Linked DNA regions of Diceros bicornis minor. The protein of the gene in region 1 interacts with the protein of each later gene in a biochemical or structural test. Links are inferred from orthologs where the notes say so. Each region holds a gene or a part of one and is shown in the gene's direction. Other genes may lie near its edges. The genes, in order: NF2, SPTBN1 and DCAF1.

Region 1 (8,031 bases):
GAAATCTTAGGTCCCAGCTCACCTGGGCCAGGTGATGATTAATGACTCAAGTCACCTCCTGAGCCTCAGGCTGCAGACAGGCCAGAGCCTCTTAGTTTGTTTGGTTTCTATCTCTACCGCACTCCAACAGGAATGTGGTGAGCTTACAAAAATACATCTAGAACATCAGTCCAGTCATGAGAAAACAAGACAAGCCCGAGTTGAGAGAAATTCAACAGATATTTGGCCGATACTCTTTTTAAAAGTGTCAAGGTCATAAAAAAAAAAAAAAAAGACTGAGAAACTATTACAGACTAAAGAGAAATAACCAAAGGCTTTGTGGGATCCTGGATAGGATCTTGGAACAGAAAAGGGCAGTAGCGGAAAAACTGGTGACATTTAAATAGAATCTTTACTTTAGATAATAGTAGTGTATCAATGTTAATTTCTTGATTCTGATAATTGTACTGTGATTAAGTAGGTATGCTAACATTAGGGGAAGCTGAGTGAGGATATAGAGAATACTATTTTTGCAAACTTTAAGTCTAATATTAGTTCTAAAAAAAAGTTTAAAAATTATATATATGTAAAAAACACTTGCTATATAAAGTATTGACCTAAGAAAAATAAATAAACAAAAAAAACCTGTAAGTAAGGGATCCATAACTTCATAAAAGGAAATACAGCTAGTGCAACAAATAAACAGTAAGTGGGTGGGGAAATAATGCAAAGTGAGGCATAAGGGCAGGAAAAATAAGATGAAGCCAAAGATAAGGCAAGGCCAGTTACAATTGTCAGAGGCTGACTTCAAATTTGGCTCTGAGCTTCCTAACAGCAAACTCCAAGAAAGAAACACGATTGGTAACATGGTTCACAACGTGTGTAAGAGAGAAAAAAAATTACACCCATACATGGGATCCTATGCAGCTCTTCAAAAATTATATTATGGAATACTTAATGATATGGGAAAATATTCATAATATATTAATGAATGAGAAAATAGCAAATCACAAAAAAGTATGTACTATATGAAAGTAGTGGGCCAGTGGATTATGCAAGCTAAAATTTGTTTTTCCTTCTGCTTGTATCAGTTTTCTATTACTGTGTAACAAGTTATGACAAATTTAGTGGTAATTACATTTATTATCTCACAGTGTCACGGGTCTGGAATCTGGGCGTAGCATGATCTTCTGCTCAGGGTTTCACAAGGCTGTAATTAAGGTGTCAGCCATATCACGGTTCTTATCTGGAACTCAGGATTCTCCTCCTAGCTCATTCAGGTTGTTGGCAGAATTCAGCTGCTTGTGGTTGTAGGACTGAAGTCCCTCTGCTTGCTAGCTGCCAGATGGGGACCACTCTCCATTCCCAGAGGCCACCCAGAGTTCCTTCCACTGTGGCCCCGTAGGCATTTCACAACGTGGATATTTGTTTTCTTCCAAGCCAGCAGGAATGCATCTCTCTGACTCTCTCCATCATGCTGGACCTCTAGACCTCCTTTTAAGAGTTCGCCTGATTAGGTCAGCCCCACCCAAAATAATCTCCCTTTTAATGAACTGAACTGATTAGGGATTACTTCTGCAAAAATCCCTTTTGCCATATAAAGTAACATAATCACAGGAATAATATCCCATCATATCCGTAGGTCTTGCCCATGCTCAAGGGGGAGTATTATACAAGGCTGTGGGTCATTGGGATACATTTTAGAATTATGCCTACCACACTGCTTATCTGCCGTTTTTTGTTTCCTTTTTATAATGCATATGGATTACTTGTAAAAGAAGGAAAAACACAATAAAAGTTATTAAAAAAATAAAAAGCAAATCAGCCTCTCATGAGAAATACAAGTACTGGGGCATAAGAGTTGTTTTTTTCATGGGTCTTCATAGAAAGGATGCTGTGTGAACCTTTGTCAGCTAAATCTCTACTGTAAAGACAGTCAGAGTTCCTCAGGGCTGTTTCTTATAACACCCTCAGTGCAGGACACTGTCTTTGTGCTAATGTGCAGTAAAAGTAATTCTGCAAGTGGCCAAAAACGACGGAGTCCAGTTTTTGGCAGAGGGGTCATAATCTAGAACTCACATGTAGCATTGAGGATAAGTTGATTTAATCTGGGGGATGAGCTGATTTATTCTGGGGTTCATAGATGTGCTTGGATGAGTCTTTCCATGAATCTCCTAAAACAATATGCAAAATTCTGTGCATGTGTGCATTCGTTTGAGGAAAGGGTCCACTGGTTGCATTGGATTCTCAATAGATTGTTTTTGACTCAAAAAAAAGGAACCATTGCTCTGCAGCAGGATTTCTTTATCTTGGCACTATTGACACTTGGGGCGGGATACTTCTTTGTTGTACGGGGTTGTCCTATGCCTTGTAGGATGTTTAACAGCATCCCTAGCCTTTTTTTTTTTTTTGTGAGGAGATCAGCCCTGTGCTAACATCTGCCAATCCTCCTCATTTTTCGCTGAGGAAGACTGGCCCTGGGCTAACATCCGTGCCCATCTTCCTCCACTTTTTTCTATATGGGACGCCGCCACAGCATGGCTTGCCAAGCAGTGCATCGGTGCACGCCCGGGATCCGAACCGGCGAACCCCGGGCCATGGCAGCGGAGCGTGTGCACCCAACCGCTTGCGCCACTGGGCCAGCCCCAACAGCATCCTTAGCCTTTAGCCATAGAGGACAGGCACACCATCTAGTTGTGACAACCAGAAAAAAAATCTCCAGACATTGCCAAATGTCCCTGGAGGGAAGGGACCTCACTTTGAGAACCACTGATCTTCTGGAAGAATGGAGGAATGAAATGTAAGTCAGGTAAGATCTGGATTAAAACAGTCCTGAATGCAAATTGCAGTTCTACCAATTACGATTTTCGGTAAATTACCTAATTTCAGCTTTATCCAAGTTCCTCATATATAAACTAGGAATATAATACAATACGTACCAAATAGGATCTTGATAAAGATCAAAAGAAATAAAGCATGCAAAATCCTTTGCAGAATACCTTAGATGGTAAGCACTTAATAAATGGTAGCTATTAATATTGTTTCCATAGTTGAGACCATAGTATTTCCTCACATTCTTCACTTATTCGTTCAATAGATATTTATTTTAACTGGTGTCTGTGTGTTAGGTCTTTTGTAACGAGCTCTATCTGAATTATTCCTTCTCAAACCCTTATCTGGTAGGTACTATTATCATCTCTGTTTATTCTTTGTGAATGGCACTTTTAATGCCAGCATAATATTCCATCACATCTATTTTAATTCTGGCCCTGGCTTCCCTTCTGAGATTCAGACCCATATGGACATCCAGGTCTGGATGTCCCCCCAGGAACATTAAATTTGGCATGTTTAGCCAATCAGCACGGTGCCTAGCACCTAGTAAGCTTTCCATAAAAGCGAGCTATTACTGGCCATCAATATCATTTTTAGCCCCTGCTGTGTGATCCACCTCCTCTTCCTACTCCTCAGTGGGTTCCCAGAGCCTCTTATTTTCTGTCAGCAGCCTTGGCCCTGGGTTAAAACCCTGATTTTTTGTCCCTGTAGGGAGACTATAGGAGAATCCAATTCTCCCTCCTGCAAGTAAGAACTGAAGCGATGAAAATGAAGACACTCCCACACCAAGCCCATATTGCCCTGAACAATCTTTTGGTGAGTAGACAGACATAATGTTCCACCACAGCAGCCCTGCTGAGCGTGCCAGCAAGTGACTCCTGGGGCCTGGCTGGTGCTTCCTGGTGCTGTAGGCGCCCATGGGGAAGAGCCAGACTTATGCTATTAGCATAGTTACAGCAAGTGTCTGCTGAGTGCTCCAGAACTGTAGTTCATATTTCTCCAGGCAGCAACAGGAGCAATTTGGAAGCCACAACCAGGGAAGCAGGGCAGTGCAGTGGTAATACCCAGTGGGATCACCCTGGGTCCCAGCTTGGCCTCTCATTATCTGGGTGACTGGGAGCAAGTGGCTCTGTCATGCTGAGCCTGTTTCTTCAGCTGTAGGGTGGGGACGATGCTAATGAGGGTTAACACTCATGGAGCCCTTACTGTTCAGTTAAAACTCATGAAATTGTCTTTATTCAATTATCTTAGAATTTATTTTTAAGTACATAAAGTTATAATCCCCCATCATACACACACGTTATAACCTTTGATGACATTTAAAAAAAATAAATGCACGTTAATGGTTCGAAAATGGAAACCACAGAGAACAAAATAAAAAATGCTTCCCTTTTTCGGCCGTTTTTGATCTACAAAAACAGCAATTTCATAGGATTCAACCTAGTATGCGCCAGCCACCGTTCTAAAGCTTTATATATATTAACTCACTTAAATTTTTCAACAACTCCATGAAGTAGGTACAATTTTTATCCCCCACCCCTTTGGTAATAATATTTCTCCTAAAGAGAGGCAGAAGGATCTGGAGGAGACTGCTGGCAACCTAAGCGGCCTCCACAACTGACTCAAAAGTTTTCGAGAAACATAGAGGTCAATAAATGTAATTAATTAAATGCCAAACAGGATTAGCCTCCGGGTGTCCGAAACACGACGTCCTGGGGCGCCACACACGGCGCGTACTCGGTCCATACAGGCCAACTCCCACGCCCCTGGACCAGTCTCTACGCGGTTTCCCAGGAAAGGCGCGCCGGGCTCCGCCGCCTCAACCAGCCTTGCTAGAGTAGGCGTACCCCTACGAACAAAAGCGTTCGGAGTGACTGCCGCTATAGCCACTCAACGCCGAGCCCAGGCCTCCGCCGCCGGTCAGAGCGGAACTTCCAATTGGTGGAGTCGTTCTGAAGAAGGCTGGACGGAGCAGGGAAAGTCCCGCCTTCCTCAGAGTTCTCAGCCAACCGTGGCGTCTGGGCGGAGGCCGCCTGTTAGGGTGCGCTGTGTGTAGCGATCTGGGGGGCCTGAGGGCGGGGCGGGGAGCAGGCCCGGGGCTGCGGGGAGGGGACGCTTCCCGCGGGTGCGCGGAGTGAGGACGGTGACAGCCACGCGCGCACGTGCGCGCCCGGCTGCGGCGCGGCCCCGAGACCTCCGTCGGCCGCTGAGAGGCGCCCGGAGTCTGGGCCGCCGCTGTCTAGGGGCTGATACACGGGCGTCCCCAGCGTCCTCGGCCCGAGTCCCGGAGCGCCGGGCCGTACCCGCCCCGTCGGTCCGCGCTCGCGTTCCCTGCCCGCGGCCGTCAGGGCCCGCCTCCCAAGTCCCCTCTCCGTTCCCGGGGCAGGGTCCTCGCGGTCCATGCTGGCCGCTGGGGGCCCGCGCCACCCAGACAGCTCCCGGGCCGGCCGGCCGGCCACCATGGTGGCTCTGAGGCCTGTGCGGCTCCTCCAGGGGGGCTAACAGGCCCAGAGCGCAGGCTTCGGGGCACGAGGGTCCCGGGCCTGAGCCCCGCGCCATGGCCGGGGCCATCGCTTCCCGCATGAGCTTCAGCTCACTCAAGAGGAAGCAGCCCAAGACGTTCACCGTGCGGATCGTTACCATGGACGCCGAGATGGAGTTCAATTGCGAGGTAACCGGCCGGCAGCCCCGACGGGCTGCGGAGAGGGGTAGCCCAGAATCCTCTCGCCGGGCCCCACCAACCCGGGCGCCCTTGCCACGGTGACAGTCGAGGTGGAAGCTTGAGGGATTCTGCTTATATCATCTCTGGGTATAGGTAGAGACTGCTAGAACCAGAAGGAACCATCTAGGCCCAAATCCTCAAATTAAAGATAATTGCTGCTTTTTTCAATTTTGGGTTTGGAAGCACTTCTTGAAGGTTTTCATTCATTGTTATTGCAAGAGGCTGGAAGCATCCGTGGTAGCGAATTCTAGTTTTCAGTGGCAGGTTCAGCTCCAGCTCTATAGAGGTTTTACTTCATTAGATAATATTATGTACCCCTGGTATTAAAAGTTGCATGTCATTTTATTGGAAAGTCTGTACTTGTTTCTCTTTTCCAAAACTTAAATTTTCTGGAAAAAAACTGTTTGAGGAATGAGATGGTGTCTGAAACTTTCTGTAGAGTTTCTATCATGATGATAAGTTATCATGTATTGAATACTTTCTAAGTGCCAGGCATTCATACATTTAATTCTCACAGCAACCCAATGAGGTAGGTACCCCAAACCATATATCTAGTAAATGGTGAAGTAAGGTTTTGAATCAAGCTCTTAGCCAATACAGTACTGCCTCTCAAGTAGTTTAGGTCCTTGCTACTCAAAGGGTGGTCTATGGATTGGCATTGGCAGCAGTGACCTAGGTGAGGGGTTGGCAAACTTTTCCTGTAAAGGGCCACATAGTAATTATTTTCAGCTTTTTGAGCTGTAGGGTATCGGTTGCAACTACTCACACCTCTTCAGCTCTACCATGTAGCACAAAAGCAGCCTTAGACAGGGTCAGCTTCCATCAGGACAGCGTGAGGAGCTCCACTGAGCTGGTCCCCTGTAAAACTGGTAAAAATTATTTGAAAAAACAGTAATTTAAACCCTCTGGAAATGGTCCTAAGGGCAAACATCAAGTGAAGAAACATCTTTTCAAGAAAATCTATCAAGGGGCCGGCCCGGTGGCATAGCGGTTAAGTGCTCACGCTCTGCTGCAGTGGCCTGGGGTCTGTAGGTTCGGATCCCAGGCGCGCACCGACGCACCGCTTGTCAAGCCATGCTGTGGCGGCGTCCCATATAAAGTAGAGGAAGATGGGCACGGATGTTAGCCCAGGGCCAGTCTTCCTCGGCAAGAAGAGGAAGATTGGCATCAGATGTTAGCTCAGGGCTGATCTTCCTCACAAAAAAAAGAAAATCTATCAAAATTTGGTAAGAAAGGTGAGAGTTTGTGGTCTTTGAACCAAGACTGCTACCACCCTCCCTGCTCCCAGCTCAGCAAGGTAGAAATTCCACTCTAGACTGCTGTAACCCAGAACACAGGGCTCCCTCTACTCCTGGCTCCCAGTCAGGTGGCTTTCTTCCCAGGAGGAGCAGGACTTCAGAGCTTCTCATCTTGCCCAAGGCTACTTGTTGCTGAGGCTAAGTCCTGGGTGTGTGAAGTTGAAAGATGGAACTTGCTTCTTCCACCCAGCTCCTACTTATGGAATGGGGGCTGTACCCTGGTGGCACACTGAGAATACTGGACCCCAGTTGTTCTTGTCCCTAACCTCAGTTTGTGAGATGGTAGTTCCAGCCAGGAGAGGCAAACTGAAAAGACTTCAGTTTAGTGTGTCCCCCATCCCCCCTTCCACCAAGGGCTCAGAGATTTTGCCTGGAGGGAGAAGCAGGCTTTAAAACCCTTGGTTTCTAATCTCTTCCCAAAGGTAGTGACTTCATTTGCAACAAAGCAGAGAAGTTTATGCTTAAGGGTACTCTCAGGAACAGTGGAGGTTTTGGTGAAAGACAATTGGGAGGACTTTTGTAGATCTAATGAAGATAACAGCCTAGACTGTAGGCTAAGTAGTTTGCAGGAGAGAATCAGGGAATAAGACAACTGGGAAGAGCCCTCTTGGCGTCAGAACAAATATCAAACACTAATTTCAGAAACTGTTTCCTCAAAAAGCCACCTTTTGATTGGATTACTTTGTAGAGCAAATTACACCCTGAGCATTGTTGAAAATAATAGAATAATATACCACAGTGAGTGGAGTTTAACAGCTGGGCATGATCAGGGAAGGAGAGGAACAGAGCCCTGCTAAAACCACTGTCATCCAGGGTGACTGTGGGCATACCCAGAGATGCACCTCCCTGAGGAGCAACAACATAGGCCTTAACACTGTATGAGGGAAATTGATTTCACTAAAACAGTCTCGCCAGTCACTAAACAAATAAACAGGCAAATAATAATAATAAGCCCTGGAGCGGGGGGGGGCAGTCCTCAGAGTTGCTATAATATGTTATCTAAAATGTCTAGTTTCCAATGAAAAATTATGAGGCATGCAAAGGAACAGGGAAGTATGATCCGTACGGTGGAAAAATCTAGCAACAGAAATTGCTTGTGAGAGCTACTAGATGTCAGATTTAACAAAAAAATTTCAAAGTATACATTATAAATATGCTCACAGAACTAAAGGAAAGCATGATTAAAGAAGTAAAGGAATA
Region 2 (7,985 bases), on another chromosome or scaffold:
TAGCAGAGTGTGTTTGGTTTGCCATGGACATCAGTCAATACACTTACAACACAGAGGGAGTGAAGAGTGCAATCCAACAAGCGGGTTAAGTGAAGAAGCATTAAGAGAGCATCTTCTCTACTATTCTAGAGGTCTAAATTCAGAATTACTTTAAGAATTTTAAAAAAATTGCGGTAATAGGGGCCGGCCTGGTGGCATAGTGGTTAAGTACGCCCGTTCCACTTCCGTTCGCGTTTTGGTGGCCCGGGGTTAGCAGGTTCAGATCCCAGGTGTGGACCTATGCACCACCTATCAAACCATGCTGTGGCAGGCATCCCATGTATTTAAAGTAGAGGAAGATGGGCACGGATGTGAGCCCAGGGCCAATCTTCCTCAGCAAAAAGAGGAGGATTGGTAACAGATGTTAGCTCAGGGCTAATCCTCTTCACCAAAACAAAACAAAACAAAAAATTCTTTAATAAAAAGAAAATTGTGGCAACATATCCATAACATAAAATTTGCCATTTTAACCATTTTTAAGTGTACAGTTCACTGGCATTAAGTACATTCACATTGTTTTACAACCATCACCACCATCCATCTCCAGAATTTTTTTCATCTTGCAAACAGAATTACTTTTTAATAATTAATATGCAATGACCAGACACATAGCTCTGATATACTAGCTTCTAAGCAGATATCTCTGGCACTTAGTAGCTGTGTAAACTTGGGCAACTCATTCAACCTACTAGTGTCTCAGTTTTCTTGCCTATAAAATGGGGTTAATATCTACCCCACAGAACTGACAAAAGGACAAAATAATATGACATTTGCTAAAGCACGTTAAAAACTGGAAAGTATTTTATAGTCGCTGCTTATGATTATTAAAAGAAAATTTGAAGATCGTTTATAGAAAGCTGAGACTGTTTATTCTGATCATTTTATGTTATTTCTGTATATTTAGATTACCATATATTCAGATTTATCACATATATATTTTACTTATTTATTGATTGATTCTATCCCCTACTAGAATGGAAGATCCATGAAGGCAGTGATTTTTTTACTGTTTTGCCCAGTGCTCTATTTCAGATCCTAGAACAGATTACGGCATATACATTTCTCAAATAAATGAAAAAATGAATTATTTTATACAATAAATGTATTGTTAGTACTCAAAAAATACTCACTCATAATAATGACAGTTTAAACATGTAAGTCTTTAAGTTTTCCCAGGGCAAAATTAATACATGTGAATAACCAAATGGAACATTTCTAATCTGAGGAAACTTCCCAGACTAGCTCGGGGTTAAAAAAAAGTCGTTTCAGAGTAAATAGAAATGAAAAAAATTTATTCAAGTTTTCAAAATGTGTTCTGATTTTTAAATTTTAGGCTATTATCAGTACAATAAAAGATGGATTTTAATTGGGTTAATATAACCAAGGAAAGACTTAAAGTAGCCGGCAGTGGCGCACAACAGTACTGTGCATCAATATCTGGTTTCAGATGTAGCCTCATGACTTGCTTTGGCAAATGAAATGTGAGTGGAGGAAACCTTGCATCATTTCTGGGTGGAAGTATTTAGTTGCTGGTACTTAACCCTCCATCACACTCCCCCTACAGTGGAGATTGTGGAAGCGCCCATTGACATGGAGGTACCATAATATTAAAGTATTCTGGAAAACTGAGCTGACACATGGAAGACAGCTTCCCCAGAGAGTATCTTGAAACCACAGTTGGCTTTATATAAGTAATAAATTAGCTTTTGTTAATTTGGGACTTGCATATTATACTGAGATTTGGGGACTGTGAGTTATAACATGATAACCTAGTCTATAGTGACTACTATATATGTTGACAAGATTTCCTCCTACATTTTGAATGGAAAGTTAAAATAACAATTTATTTCTGCAAAATTTTTGTAATAAAGTACTGCCTCTATGGGAGTTAAAGCCATATATAATCACATGGTTTTAAAAATGGAGAGGGGTATGTTACAGACATGATATCAATGAGTTCTAGGTTCCTTTACATCAACCTTGATGCTAATGTGAAGTTACACTTCAGCAAAGCTGCTTTTGAGATATCTGAGAATAATTCTTTGTTACCATCATTACTGCCCAAGGCTTTTTATCTTTTTCTAGATTCTTGCTTTCCACAGAGATGTATTTCTTCTCCAATAATCTCTTCAGACTTAGACTGTCTTTTCTTTGACCTGTTACTTTTTTTTTTGGTCGGCGGTACACTGGGCTGTCCTGGGTGATGATATTTTTCCACCAAAGGGTAAGAATTTGAAATTGTGAGGCAGGTATTAATAGTGAAATTTTGAATCCTTGTCTTTCACATTTTTGGAATACTTACTGCCACTTTACTAGAGTACCTTGCTAAGGTTATGTGAGGCCTCCCTTTTTGAAGGAAATTTTTAAAAGTAAGTGGGAGTGAGCGGCCGGCCCTGTGGCTTAGCAGTTAAGTGTGCGCGCTCCACTACTGGCGGCCCGGGTCGGATCCCAGGCACGCAGGGAGGCACCGCTTCTCTGGCCATGTTGAGGCCGTGTCCCACATACAGCAACTAGAAGGATGTGCAACTATGACATACAACTATCTACTGGGGCTTTGGGGAATAAAAGGAGGAGGATTGGCAATAGATGTTAGCTCAGAGCGGGTCTTCCTCAGCAAAAAGAGGAGGATTAGCATGGATGTTAGCTTAGGGCTGATCTTCCTCACACACACACAAAAAAAATTAAAAAAAAAAAAGTAAGTGGGAGTGGAATGGGGTAGGGGAGGTGACTCATCCATCAAATGAAGATTATTCAAGTACTGTTATCTGCGATAAAGGAAGCAGTCAAGAGACACCAATTCAGAATCACACTGGAAAAATTTCAACAGGCATTTCCCAGTACTGCCATTGTTTTCTTTGGTTTTCATCAACACTGTGGGTGGGGAGGTGCTGGGGGCCGTGGCACAAACTAAGTGAAAGGGAAACAACTCTCATTCCTAGTGGATTTCCTGTATTACCTAATGAGGGCAGCCCTTACATGCCGATTCTGTTCCATTCAATTCAACCAATATTTTTTGATCACCTTCTAAGTGCCTGCTATGTACAGTCAAAGAACCTGGCCCTTGGACAGTTCCCCTTCTGGCTATGTTAATCAATCTTCTGAGAAAAATGTTAAATTACTTGCCTTCATTGTTTTTCATAAATATCAAATGTAAACATTGATACAAACATTCAAACTGATGGTGAATGCCTAAAAGGAAGAATCATTTTCACTTTGCTGGGACAATTTCATGTAGTTTTATTTTAAAATGTTCATTTAAAAAATATATACAGGGGCCAACCCGGTCGCACAGTGCTAAGTTCTCACGCTCCGCTTTGGCGGCCCGGGGCTCGCAGGCCTGATCCTGGGCGTGGATCTACCCACTGCTCATCAAGCCAGGCTGTGGCAGTGCTCCATAAACAAAATAGAGGAAGACTGGCACAGATGTTAGCTCAGGGACAATCTTCCCCACCAAAAAGAGGAAGATTGGCAACAGATGTTAGCTCATGGCCAATCTTCTCACACATACACACACACAAAATATATATACACACAAATATAAACCCATCAGGCTTCTGGTCTATTGATTTGAAATATAAGCATGACCCAAACTATTTGGCTGCCTTTTATTTCTACTTTTTATTCAGGGGTTGAGGGTCAGATCTCTAGGGAAAAAGGGGCTTTTTCAACCCAGAAAAGCCTTCTTCCTTCTGAAGGCTTACAGTGCCGCAGTTGGACACCTACAGACCAAGCAGAAAGTCACTTTCTCCAGACTGCTTTCTAAAGAGCGTTTCTATTCATGGCCCTGGTGATGACACCATCTTTTTTCCCCAACAGTGGCGGTTCCAGAATTTCTACATAGCCTTGTGGGGGTTGACAGGGTGGGCAAGCTGGTTGGGAAGGGGCACTGACAGTTGAGAAAAATTCGAGAAAAGGTCCGGAGTCCGTCTCGTACTGTGGGTAGGGGGAGAACTCCGGCCCCTCCAGCCATCGCAAGGCCTCCACTGCAGCCGGGACGTCCCCTCTCCGTAGGAGTGGCTCCGGAAAAGCATCGCTTCAGGTGAAAGTAAGCCTGCGTTTGGGCGAGAGGCAGGAGTTGGATGAATCACTTGTGGGGTCTGTTCCCAGCTACCCCGAGGGAAAGGATGAAAAAGCACTCACAACGGAGGAAGATCTTGACTTCACCGAAGAACCACCTCCCTCCCCTCATCGCCCCAAGGTTTCCCACGGAGAAGTCACTATCGCTCTTCATCAGGCTGAGCGGAACCTATAAGGCAACACCACCTAGATCTAAAACCAAACCAGCCAACCAACGCTCTAAACCCTCCCTCAGCACGCTCTCTCCATCGCGTTCCAAACGCAAACATCGCGGGTGAAAAGAGGCTGCACAAGTCACGCAGAAAATTAAGCTGCGCCTTTCCATGGCGATAATCGAATTAGCCTCAAATTAAACGTGAAATTGGCCCTCGCCGGCTGTGGGGACAAAGCCCTCATTGTCCCTCTGCTCCGGTAGCGGCGGCGACGGTGCCCATCCTGCCCAGGCCAGCCCCGGCCAGCCCCCGCGGCAGGCGACGAGGTCCGCGCTGGGCGGGGGCAGAGCCTCGGCGGGGGAAAGCGTGGACGCGCCCCAGGATCCGCTCGCGCGCGGAGCAGGCTCTGGGTGAGCAGCTGCGGGGCTGCCAGCAGGGGCGGGGGCAGGCGAGAGGGAGCGACCGAGGGAGGGAGGAGCGGAGGAGAAAAGAGGAGAGCGGAGGGTGTGCGGGAAAGAGCATGTGCGCGCGCGTGTTGCGCGCACCCGGCGCCCGCGCCCGCGCGCTCTCTCTCCCCGCCCCTCGCCCCCTCCCTGCGCGCTCCCTCCCCTCCTCCCGCCCACCTCGCGCTCCCGCCCAGCCCCCGGAATCAGTGCAGCTGTTGCCGTGCAGGCTGCGGATTCCTCCAGTCCCTCCCTCGGCCGCCTCTCCGCCCGGAGCAAGCGCGCAGCCCCGCGCAGCAGCGCCCACTGGTCCCGTCCTGTGAGCCCCGGCCCCAGCCGCGGACAGCCCCGCGGAGTCGCCTCCCGGCCCACCCGCCCGGCCGCCAAGGAGCGGGAGGAGGACGGGACTCCGGCGCCCCCACCCCTATCCGCGGGAGGTAGGTAGGGGGCCTGAGGCTGGAAGATGCCAACTCACTGGGGCTGCCTCCCGGGCAGCGGGCGGGAGGAGGGGCGCGGGCCCAGGCCGGGAGGACGCAGCTGCCCTGCCGCTGCCTTGCGCCGGGGGAGCGGCGTGGGGGCGGGGAGGCTGCAGAGCCCGGGCGGGGGCGGCGCGGGAAGCCTGGGTCTCCAGTGCTAATTATTGCTAGGGTTATGCGGGGCAGAGGGCGGTGGGCTCTGCAGTGAGGCGGCCGCAGACCAGCGGTGCGCACCGCGGCCGCCCAGCCTCATCCCCGGGCGCAGTGGCGCCGATTCCTTCTCCCTGCGTCCGCCGCCGCCTCCCTCCAGCCAGGCGCAGCGGCCCCTGGCGCGGGGGTGGGTGCGGAGTAGGCTGCAGGGAAGGTGTATTTTCAGGTGGCCTCCCTCTAGTCCCGGCTGGTGGGGAGCGGGGCGGCGTTGACAGGGCCGGGCTCTAGGCTTAACGGTACGGGGGATGCTGCCAGGCGTGGTCCGAACTGCGCTGCGCTGCAGCTGAACCGGAGGCGGCGGCCCGGCGCCCCTCACCCCCGCCCATCCTCGCGCCCGCTCCCCCCTCCGCGGCCGCTCCCCGCCCTCCCTGTCGTCCCCACTCTCCCAGTGCTGGGCGTGAGCCGCCTCGGGGCACCGAGCCGCCGCTGCGCCCGCCCTTGAGCTCCTGCCACCCTCTCTTCAACAGGTTTGTACCAGCGCGGAGCCCCTCCGGGCCTGCCTTTGGGGTGGTAGGCTGGAAGCCCCTCTCGTCATCATTCCTCACACCACGCTCGTGGCCCTCTTTTTCGGGGGGGAGAGACTTCCCTTTGTTTTTCTGTTAGGAAAGATGCCCAGTGCTTGCCATCAGATGGGGAGGGGAAATGTGGGGATCAGTACACAAACCGTGTCCATTTTTGCAGTCAAAAGCCAGGCCCGATAGTAAGTTAGGAGAGGACGAGTGTGGGGGTGCTTCGGTGGGGGAGAAAAATGGATTCGGTGGGGTTTATTTGGGCGGGGATGTGCTTTTTTGGCAAGATGGATGGCTCACGGTGCCCTCGCCGTGATGCAGCACAATGCAGCAGTATCGCAGCCTCCCCTGGTTCTCGCTGGCGGGGCTTGGCACGGCCACTCGGCGCCTGCGGCCCCCGCCCGGCCCCACCCAGGCCCGGGGCTGCCCTTGGCCGAGACTCGGAGCTGCGTCTACCTTGTCATGCTGCTTCAGCTGGATGTGGCGTCAGGAGGACCAGGTCACCTCGCTGTGAGGGGGGAGGCTTCTCTTTGGGCTGACCCCCTTCCGCCCCGCCTGTTGGGCTATGCTCGGATGAAGGGGCGCCCTGCAGCGCTAATGCGGGCAGAAGGAGCCGGCCTGCGGCTGCGGACCGCAATCTGATCTCCGACCGAGGGACCTGAACCGTAGGGAGGGGCAGCAGGGAGGACGGGGCCCAGCGGTGTGCGGAGGCAGTGGTGCATTCGGTATTGGGAGTCGCAGCGTCTTTCTGTGGATCACCCATGATCTGTAACTACAACCCCACTATCCTTCGGTTTCTTCATATGTGAAAGTTCATGTTTATTAATTGGAGCTTCGCAGCTATGACATTACTGTACCTCGGTCTTTGGTCAATACGGAGAAGGATTTTTTCCTAGAGGAAACCATTTTTTGAAATGAAGCGATTGATATATTTTAGTTTTTGTGTCCTTGAGGCATTTCTAAAAATACTGACATTCAGTAGATTGTTTTAAAAGGAACCTATTTTTTGATGGATAGTAAATGGTTTCTTTAACCTGTATTTGCTTTGTTTTTATTGTTTGCTTTTTCTGTAAATCAAGTACAATTACATATTTGGATTCTTTATTAAGGATTATTAGGTAAATGAGTGTCATAATTGATGGTAAGTACTCAGATTGATTTAGATAGGCAAGTTGTCTCCAGTTATGACTAATGGGATTGTGATGGTAACTGACTGCGTTTATGTTTGTTTATATGTATTTTTCGTATAAATATTTTTTGCAGATGTGGCTGGGGAGGGGGTTGAGAAAGGCAGACCCCCAAGGCCGCTGTGGCTGTTATCTGGTCAGAAGGAGATGGTTCCCTATGTCTTGTTTAGTCTAGACTAGTACACAGGGAATTTTTCTTCTAAATGCCACTTCGACAATTCATTTATTCAGTGTGGAATGGCAAATGAGATGCATTTCAAATGTCACCCCAGCTCTTCTAAAATGTATAGGTGAAAAAGAGAATTTAGTATTCTAACTGGAAGGGAAGGTCAGTGTTGTAAAGCAAGGGCGTGTCTACTTTTATTTTTTAAATCTCTAATGAATCCAAATTAGTGGCATTTGATTTTATGTGGCTCTGCAGAGTAGAACTGAATGCAAATTGTGTGGTTTATGTGCATTATTTTGAGTTTCTCTGATAGAGGGCCATTAAAATGTAGAACTTTTTGGGTTTGGCCTTCATTGTTGTGCTGGTTGTATAAAATCATGTTGCATAAAGATGTTTGGGAGTACTGTTCCCATGGATTATCCAGACATTTTGGATTTACTACTGTGTTGTAAGAAAATATCCTGTGTTGATGTCACAGGAGGTTTAGCTGTTCTGACTTACACACCAGCTGCAGAATTCTGTTAGATTAAGCTCTTTGTAATTCTGTGTCTCTGAACTGACCAAAACCTTCAACTGAGAGGATGAGAAGCGTTGCGGCAGTGAAGAAACTGCCAGCGCCTGGTCATCTTCTGTTGTGCAGGCTTTCTGTGAAGAGCATCTCTTGGGTGAGACTAGTAACAACTGTCTGAGATGTTGTAGGAGCTAGTGAGAAGGCCTCACTCTCTA
Region 3 (7,376 bases), on another chromosome or scaffold:
TCAAATGGGTCAGGCCAGAGATCCCTGAATCCTGTAGAAAGGTCTTGTGGCTACAAACAGGCAATGCCAAAAATCCAAGGGCTTCTCTCTCCAATGCTGACTCCACTGTTGTTTCTTCCCAGAAGGATTTACAATGCCAGGAACCTGAGACAAAAGAGGCTGGAGTGCTTTCTCCTTACCTTCCCTGCCCTGTCTCCCAACCTCTAACTCTGACCTAGAGCATAGCCTCTGGGAGTCAGATGATAAGTGGCAGCCAGGCTGGGAGATCTGACAGGTCCTGGGAGTACCTGGACGGCAGAGTTTGGCCCTCTTCATGCTACAGCCCCTGTTTGTGCTGGGCAGGTCCATTGTGAGGGAGGCCCAGAGTATACCATCTCTGGCCACCCCCTCTGGCCTCTACTTTGATTGTGACATCACCATCCTGCCTGAGAACCACATGGAAGGAAGTGGGTGTGCTCTGGGTAGGGTTTCCAGATGCAAGCTTCATCCCAGCAGGGAGGCAGGGACCATGGGCTGGTTTGGGGAAGGTGATATGTCTGGCATCACATCCAAGGGGCTCCTTGGCTTCACCCTTGATCAGTGGTAGCCTTTGCGGGCATGAGGAGGCCTAGGAGCAGATCCTCTTAAATGCACCCTCCGACACCCTCAGTTTTCAGTTCTCTGCTGAGAGTGAACAGGTGATCTCCAAGAGTGGCTACTCTACTATTTCCCAGTGCTTCCGTAAATGTGCCCTAGGATTTTTCTGATAAGGAGCTCATTTCTCATTTAAATGAGGAAAGCCTGAGCTCTTCCAGCAGGCAGTACTGGAGGAAAGAGGAACCAGACCCGGATGAGGTGGTCCTGAAGAACTGCGCTGGGACTGCTGCAGACTGAGAATAATCCAAATAGGAATAGCTATCATGTAGTTAGCACTTACTGTGTGCCAGGCCCCAAGCTAAGCACTTTATATGCATTATCGCATTTAATCCTCATAACAATGCTAGAAAGGAGGTATCATTATTTCTATTTTCCAGGCAGGGAAACTGAAGCTTGAGAGGTGAAGCAATTAGGCCAAGGTCCCACAGCTGGTAAATGGGAACACCAGTATTAGGATGCAGGCCTGTCTGCCTCCAAAGCTGGACTCAGCTGCTGACCTGTCTCCTTTTGCAAACTCTTCCCAATAAAGAGGAAAAACTATTTTCTCATCTCTGACCATCAGCAATAGGGTTAAAGAGAAAAGGGTAGAAAGGGAGATTTGAGCCTTATATCACCCAGATCATCAGCTTTTAGATAAGGGAGACTTGACTGCTTGGCTTATCTAATTTTTAATGAGACCCATTGGGAGGCAGCTGTTCTGATTTGTTTCTAACTATTTTGCAACGATTTAAGGGAGGCCCTGGGGGCCACAGAAGGGAGTCCTTGTGGTCTGTGGCAGAGCAGTGGTTTTGAGTGGGATTGCCAGATAAAACATAAGATGACTGGTGCACTTTTAATTTCAGATAAACAATAATTTTGAAAATATAAGTATGTCCTAAATATTGCATGGGCCTCCTCTGTGGGCTCCTTGCTCTGGCTGGAGCCCTGGTATGTGGAAGCTGGGGTGGCTCTGAGGGTCACTGCTTCATTTCCCACTTGAGCCTCAAGCCCCTCTATGAAGTTGTGCTTGTGGGAGCAGGAGGTGGGGACTGGTTTCTGGAAACTGCAGCTGCTGTGATCACTGGACAAGGTGGTGGCTTAAACTATGGGAACTCTGAATTTCTCCCTCTGTAAAACGAGAGTGGTGGGCATGGATGTAGTCACACAGGAGCGGTTCCTTTGCATACCTCATGTGTAATGAGGGTAGTGTTCCACTTTTCTAGGAGGCTGTTGGGGCTCCCAGGCAGGGGGAAGTCACTGAGTAAATGAATGGAATTCTCTCTTTGTCCAGACTGGGGTTCCCAGAGTCTAGCAGGCCCGAGCCTCTCCTTGGCAGCTCCTGTGACTCCTGGACACTTGCAGTAGCAGTCTTGTTCAGCCAATAGCAGAGCGGGAGTGGATGTGGGACAGTTGGCCTCACCTCCTGGCCCTGGGGAATTGCAGGAGGAGGCACAGGAGTTGTGGTGGCACCAGGGTAGGGATGGGCTGGTGGGAGCACCTGGCTCTGGTGAGACTGGGAAGTAGGTGATGGGAGAGAAGGGTGATAGGGTGAAGAGAGGGAGAAAGATGAGTAGTGTCCTGAAGCCCAGAGGACTTGATGCTATCGATTTTCCTACCCCAGTGCATGGGCATGCTTGAGGGTGAGGCCGGGTGGAGCATAGCTAAGTGTGTAGCCCTTGGGGCCAGGACTGGGCTGCTTTTGCCCCTTTTGCCCTTTCTCTGACACTGGGCAGTCCTGCAAGCATTACTCCTTGCCCTTTTGGATGGTGGCTGCTGCTTTCTGAGGCACATCATAGAGTGGGTGGGCACAGGCAGAGCAGGGGGGACAGATTCCAGAGATATTCTTCAAGGAGGCCAAGGAATATCTTTCCAATGATTCACAGTGGGAGTCCCAGAGTGGGAGTCTGGGAGTGCCTGCAAGTGTAGGGCTGTGGGTGTGGGTGCTGGCAGGGGTAAGGGGGCTACAGGAGTTACAGAGCACAGAATCTGGACGGAAAAGCTGCTAGACAGGCTTTCTATAGCTCCTGGTCTGCTTCCCAGCCTCCTGGGCCCTGGCTTCTCCAAACCCCCTCTGCGATGCCCCTCACTCCCATTACTGACCCAGGGCTCCAGGCTGGGTTTCTGAAGGAGAGTAGTGCCATCTGGTGGCAGGCTGAGGCAGTGCCAGGAGCAGGCGAGCTGGACCCTGGGTTCCCACAAGGGCTCTGCCTTTCAGGACCAGCGGGGAAAGTCACCAAGGCGCTGGCTAGACCAAGGACAGAAGGAGGGTATCTAAGGCTTGAACACTCTATCCTCATGTATTTTGGGTTCATGGCCCAGGGAGGCATGGCCGTTAGGAAAGTGACTTAAGGAAAGTCAGCTGAAGGAGTGCTGGAGGACAGGCATAGGAAAGTTAATGAGTCCAGCCTCTGAACCCACAAAACTAGTCCCCATTCCTTGGGTCACCTCTCTGGGCTTAAATTTCTCATCTGTACATGTGGCTAACCAAATCTACCCTGTGGAGTGGTAGTGAGGGTTATATGAAAAAGTGTGGGTAAAAAACTTGGCTCAGAGCTGAGCCTGCTGTAAGGTTAAAGAAAATGGTAGTGACAATTATTGATATAGGCAAAGTTCCAGAAGCACAGAGAAGAGAGCTGTGTGTTGTGGTGGGTGAAAGGGTTGCAGAGAGGTGACATGTCTGCAGTGCTGCCACTCCACATTCTAGAATTTTGTGCCTGAACACCTGCTCCAAGTTACACACTTAAGTGAAGGAGAGAGGTCTGTTTTCTGGAAAGAAGGGGAATGGAGTCCAGTGGGGAATGGAATCAAGCTTCTAGGCTCTGGCTAACTTCTTACTAGTTACAGAACCTGAGCATGGCAGCAGGCTTGCTGTGTCCTGTGTTCCCCCATGAAAGTGTTGGCTGTGAGGACTCCATAGAAATGCACAGAAACTTGCTCAGGACTCCCAGGGAGACAAAAGCTGGGTAGCATGTTGTGAGGGAGAGATTCTGTTAAGCTGTGGAGTCACATTTATCTTTCATGTCCCTAAAAAGGGATCCCTGAGTCAGAGTCAGGGATAGTTCTGGTTCTGCTCCCAAGCTAATTGGTTGTGTGATGCTAGGCAAGTCACTCAGTCTCTCTGGGCCTCATTTTTCCCAGCTGCAAAATAAACGAATTAGATGACCTCTGAGGTCAGCCCTGCCTTACTCTATGTCCTTTTGATTTTTTTTCCTTACCTAGGATAAATATTTGTTGATCCTACAGGCTAGGTCTTGAACAGAAAGACAAAGAAAACCAGTGCCTTGTATTTAATGAGTGCTATGATTTCTGATATGCTTGCCAGAAATATTTTCTTACATCCTGGTATGTTCTAGGTATAATGGGGCAAACGAGAGAATACAACAAGGACTCCCCCCTGTCACACAGGGCAGAAAAGGTACTGACAAGGTATCAAGCCCTAACAGCCCTGGCTTGGGAGCATTGAGTGCCTCACTTTTCGCTGCCGCCTACCGAAGCAGCCAATGAGTACACAGCAGTTGGTGTTTATGCTAAAAACTACAAATTCCAGAAGTCAATGCGCGAGGGCGAAGTGCTTACGCGCAAATCAAGATTAGTGGGCCCTGCCCCTAGAAGCGGAACTTCATTTCCCGGCGGCCCCGGGGCTCGTCGATATTCCTCCGTTGGCGCTGGCGTTCTCCTCCTGCCTCCTGCCAGCAAGCCCCGCGCCAACTCGGGGCGCGCGCGCGCGCGCGCGGGGGGGGGCGGGGCACGTAGCACGCGAGTGACGCATAATATGTGGGCCGTTCCGGAGCCGTGGTCGCGCTGTGTGTGAGTGAGGGAGAGTGAGTGCGGGACCTGAGGCGGTGTGTGTGAACTGTGGCCACTGGCGGGGTCAGGGGGGAGCGGCGGAGCCGCCCGGGAAGGTGAGTGGGGAAAGGAAGGAGACGGCTCTCTGGGAGGGGCGCGAGGAGATAAGGCGCGTGGCGGTGCGGGCGGGAGAGTGGGCGCCGGGCTGGGGGAGGGGCGGCACCTGCCTGGGCCGCCGGCGGGGAGGGGGCGGGCCGGCCCGCTGGGGAGGCTGGGCCCGGGGCCTGACAGGACTTTTCCTCCTCCAGATTCTTGGCTTGGGGGCGGGGCCTCCACGTTCTTCCTCCAGTCCGCGAAAGCAGCTTTCCGAGAGTAACTCTTCTGCTCGGAGTGGGGGGCAGGACTGTGCCACCCCTACCAGGAGGAAGGGCGCCTCTTATTCCCCTCGTCACCTTTTTCTTCCCAATCCTCCCAGTCTCGGTTCCGTACGAGCTGGGGGGCTCCATCTTCCTTGCCGTACGGCGGGCCCCTTCCCAGACTGTCTCCGCCTCCAGCTCCAGTCACCTGGGCGGGCTCTCCCCTCCCTCGGCCTCGTGCCACCTCCCCTTGCGTGGCCCGGCTCTCGGACCCGGGTTAGGGGGGCGGAGCTTTCCGCCCAGTTCTGTCACACCGAGGGTGGAGCGGAGGGGTGGAGAGAGGTGTGCGGGGCTTGCAGCGTGGAGCCAAACCTTCCAAGTGCCCACCAAGCTTCCCGGGAGCCTATTTCTGGGGGTTTTATAGTTGTTTTTAACTGTGGTGTCAGAGGCATTTGCTTAACTGGCTCTTCTCTTCCTAGATGCTGTCCGTGTCACTTCCTCTTATTGCAGTGTTAGCGCTCGGGTTTCACATTTGTTGAAGTGGTTTTGGAGTGTTTGTAGTAGTTCTTTTTGAGTCCCAAATGACTCGTCCTTGTTCACGTCATGTTGGCCTCAGTTTTTCCTTACTCTGTCTTTTCAATGATGTCTTTTAATTAGTCTACGTGCTTTAATTATTAATTTATATTAGCAGCATGTTCCTGTTCTAAACGCTTTGTTAATATACAGAGTGAGGTTCATTGACAGTGTCATTCTGTAATTTTCTTTCTCCAGTTTACTGGAGTTTACCTTTAAGGTTTATATAAGCTTGTATATTTAGACTCTTTAGGAATTCGTTTGGTATTTTTCTGCTTGTTGCTGTCGAGATTTGGGTTTTCTATATAGCAGTTTTACCTTATGCGCTTTCCAGCGGTAATATATTTGTGGATATTGAGATAATAGATACAGAATTTGGGGAATATAAAGGAGATCATTTTATGCTCAAAATCTCTTGAGTGGTTGCTGAGCAGTGTTCTGCTGTTCTTTCTGTTGTACAGTTGTTAAATTTAATAGAGGAGGAGTCTGGTAGAATGAACCACTTGTTAGTTTGAAGTGACTGAAGTTGATTTATTACCAGTTTTCTTACATTGTTTTTGTAAAGGAGATGGTCATGGACAGGAATAGACAATTGTTACACATGATCTTATATGTCATGCTAATTATTGGATAAATTTTATTTGAAGTTCCAAACTTGGATTTTTTTCCCCCATTTTTTTGTTTTTTTAAAATAAGGAAGAACGCTTTCAGATGTTTGTTTCAGGATTGTAACCTTGCAGGAATCTGTCCTTAATGTGGACTTTATTTTAGGCTTTGGGATAGTTTCTGTTGAATGCCATTCAGTATTGTGTATTAGAAGAGGACAGATTTTATGGTTTAAAAAGTTACGAAAGGTTACAAAATAGTGGAAAAATTGTAGAGCTGGGGTAATAACATACAGAGAAAAATCTTTCTCTTATCTTTAACCCTCAGAAAGTCAATTACTTAACACATGATAGATATTATCCTTTCCTTGTGTATTCTTCCAGGGATATTTTATTCTAGGGACACACACACTCTCTCTCACACACACACTTTGCTTTTCTCATTTGACAATATATTTGAGAGTTGGTTCAAATTAGGAAAGGAAATGTTTCTTAATTTTTTTCTCTTTTTGTTATGAAAATTTTCAAACATACTAAAAAGTTGAAAGAATAGTAAAATGACACTTGTTTATCCATCCAGATTCAACAGTTGTTACTATTTTGTCATATTTTTTTCTATTTATAAATGTGGTGTATATTTCTTTATTTTGTGGAACCGTTGGGAAATAAGATGCAGAAACATCATACCCCTAAATACCTTGGCAGCCATGCTTTAGAAGAAAGACATTCTATGTATTTTTTTGTAGGGCTTTATATTATTCCACTGTATGAACAGTATTATCATTTTACCCTCACAAGAACCATTTCCATTTTACGGAAAAGGAAATTGAGATTTGGAGAAGTTAAATAACTTGACCGAGATCTCACAGGTTTGTCCACAGAGTTGGGATTTGATGCTTGAAACCCTTTTCTACCGAGTAACACTTGGTTGGTTTTGGGGCCCTCTCTGAGCCCATTTCCTCATTTGTAAAAAAGGGGAAGGTTGGTTGTGAAAATTCAGAATAACGTAGTGAATTACTTAGCCAAATGTCTGTCCCGTACTATTATTCACTAAGTGGTAACTGTTGTGTCACTATAGGGCAGGCTGTAAATTCTGCATACCACTTAAAGCACTCACTTTCAAACATAGTAAATTGATTAATGCACCTTCATTGTTTTGTGTATAACAAGATGACTGCACCTTTTACATTTTTTATTAATAGTTTTTCATTGATACTAAAATGAATTATCATTGATATTATTGTTTTAGTCTATTGTAAGTTTATATTTTCCCTGGGCAAGTGATTATTCTCAAAATTATAATTATTCTCAGGCATAATTAATCAGAAGTTTTGAAAATGATACCAGAAGTATGTATGTGTCTAAATTGAACTTGAAAATTTTAGTATTTTACTGTGCTTGTGCTGACCTTTATTAGAGGTAGTATTTTCTTTAAACTTTC

The links.
Region 2: the proteins of NF2 (region 1) and SPTBN1 form a complex in vitro, tested with the Homo sapiens proteins (2 studies listed by BioGRID and IntAct). The link is inferred for Diceros bicornis minor from reciprocal best matches to the Homo sapiens genes NF2 and SPTBN1.
Region 3: the proteins of NF2 (region 1) and DCAF1 form a complex in vitro, tested with the Homo sapiens proteins (3 studies listed by BioGRID, with this or other methods). The link is inferred for Diceros bicornis minor from reciprocal best matches to the Homo sapiens genes NF2 and DCAF1.

Annotation. Positions count from the first base shown.
Region 1 is NC_080774.1:23,186,888-23,194,918, forward strand, and holds the start of NF2 (merlin), read left to right. Parts: upstream 1-4,962; 5' UTR 4,963-5,368; coding exon 5,369-5,482; intron 5,483-8,031. UniProt on the Homo sapiens protein: Probable regulator of the Hippo/SWH (Sav/Wts/Hpo) signaling pathway, a signaling pathway that plays a pivotal role in tumor suppression by restricting proliferation and promoting apoptosis.
Region 2 is NC_080751.1:31,959,655-31,967,639, reverse strand, and holds the start of SPTBN1 (spectrin beta chain, non-erythrocytic 1), read left to right. Parts: upstream 1-4,985; 5' UTR 4,986-5,148; intron 5,149-7,985. UniProt on the Homo sapiens protein: Fodrin, which seems to be involved in secretion, interacts with calmodulin in a calcium-dependent manner and is thus candidate for the calcium-dependent movement of the cytoskeleton at the membrane.
Region 3 is NC_080741.1:52,255,000-52,262,375, reverse strand, and holds the start of DCAF1 (DDB1- and CUL4-associated factor 1), read left to right. Parts: upstream 1-4,348; 5' UTR 4,349-4,517; intron 4,518-7,376. UniProt on the Homo sapiens protein: Acts both as a substrate recognition component of E3 ubiquitin-protein ligase complexes and as an atypical serine/threonine-protein kinase, playing key roles in various processes such as cell cycle, telomerase regulation and histone modification.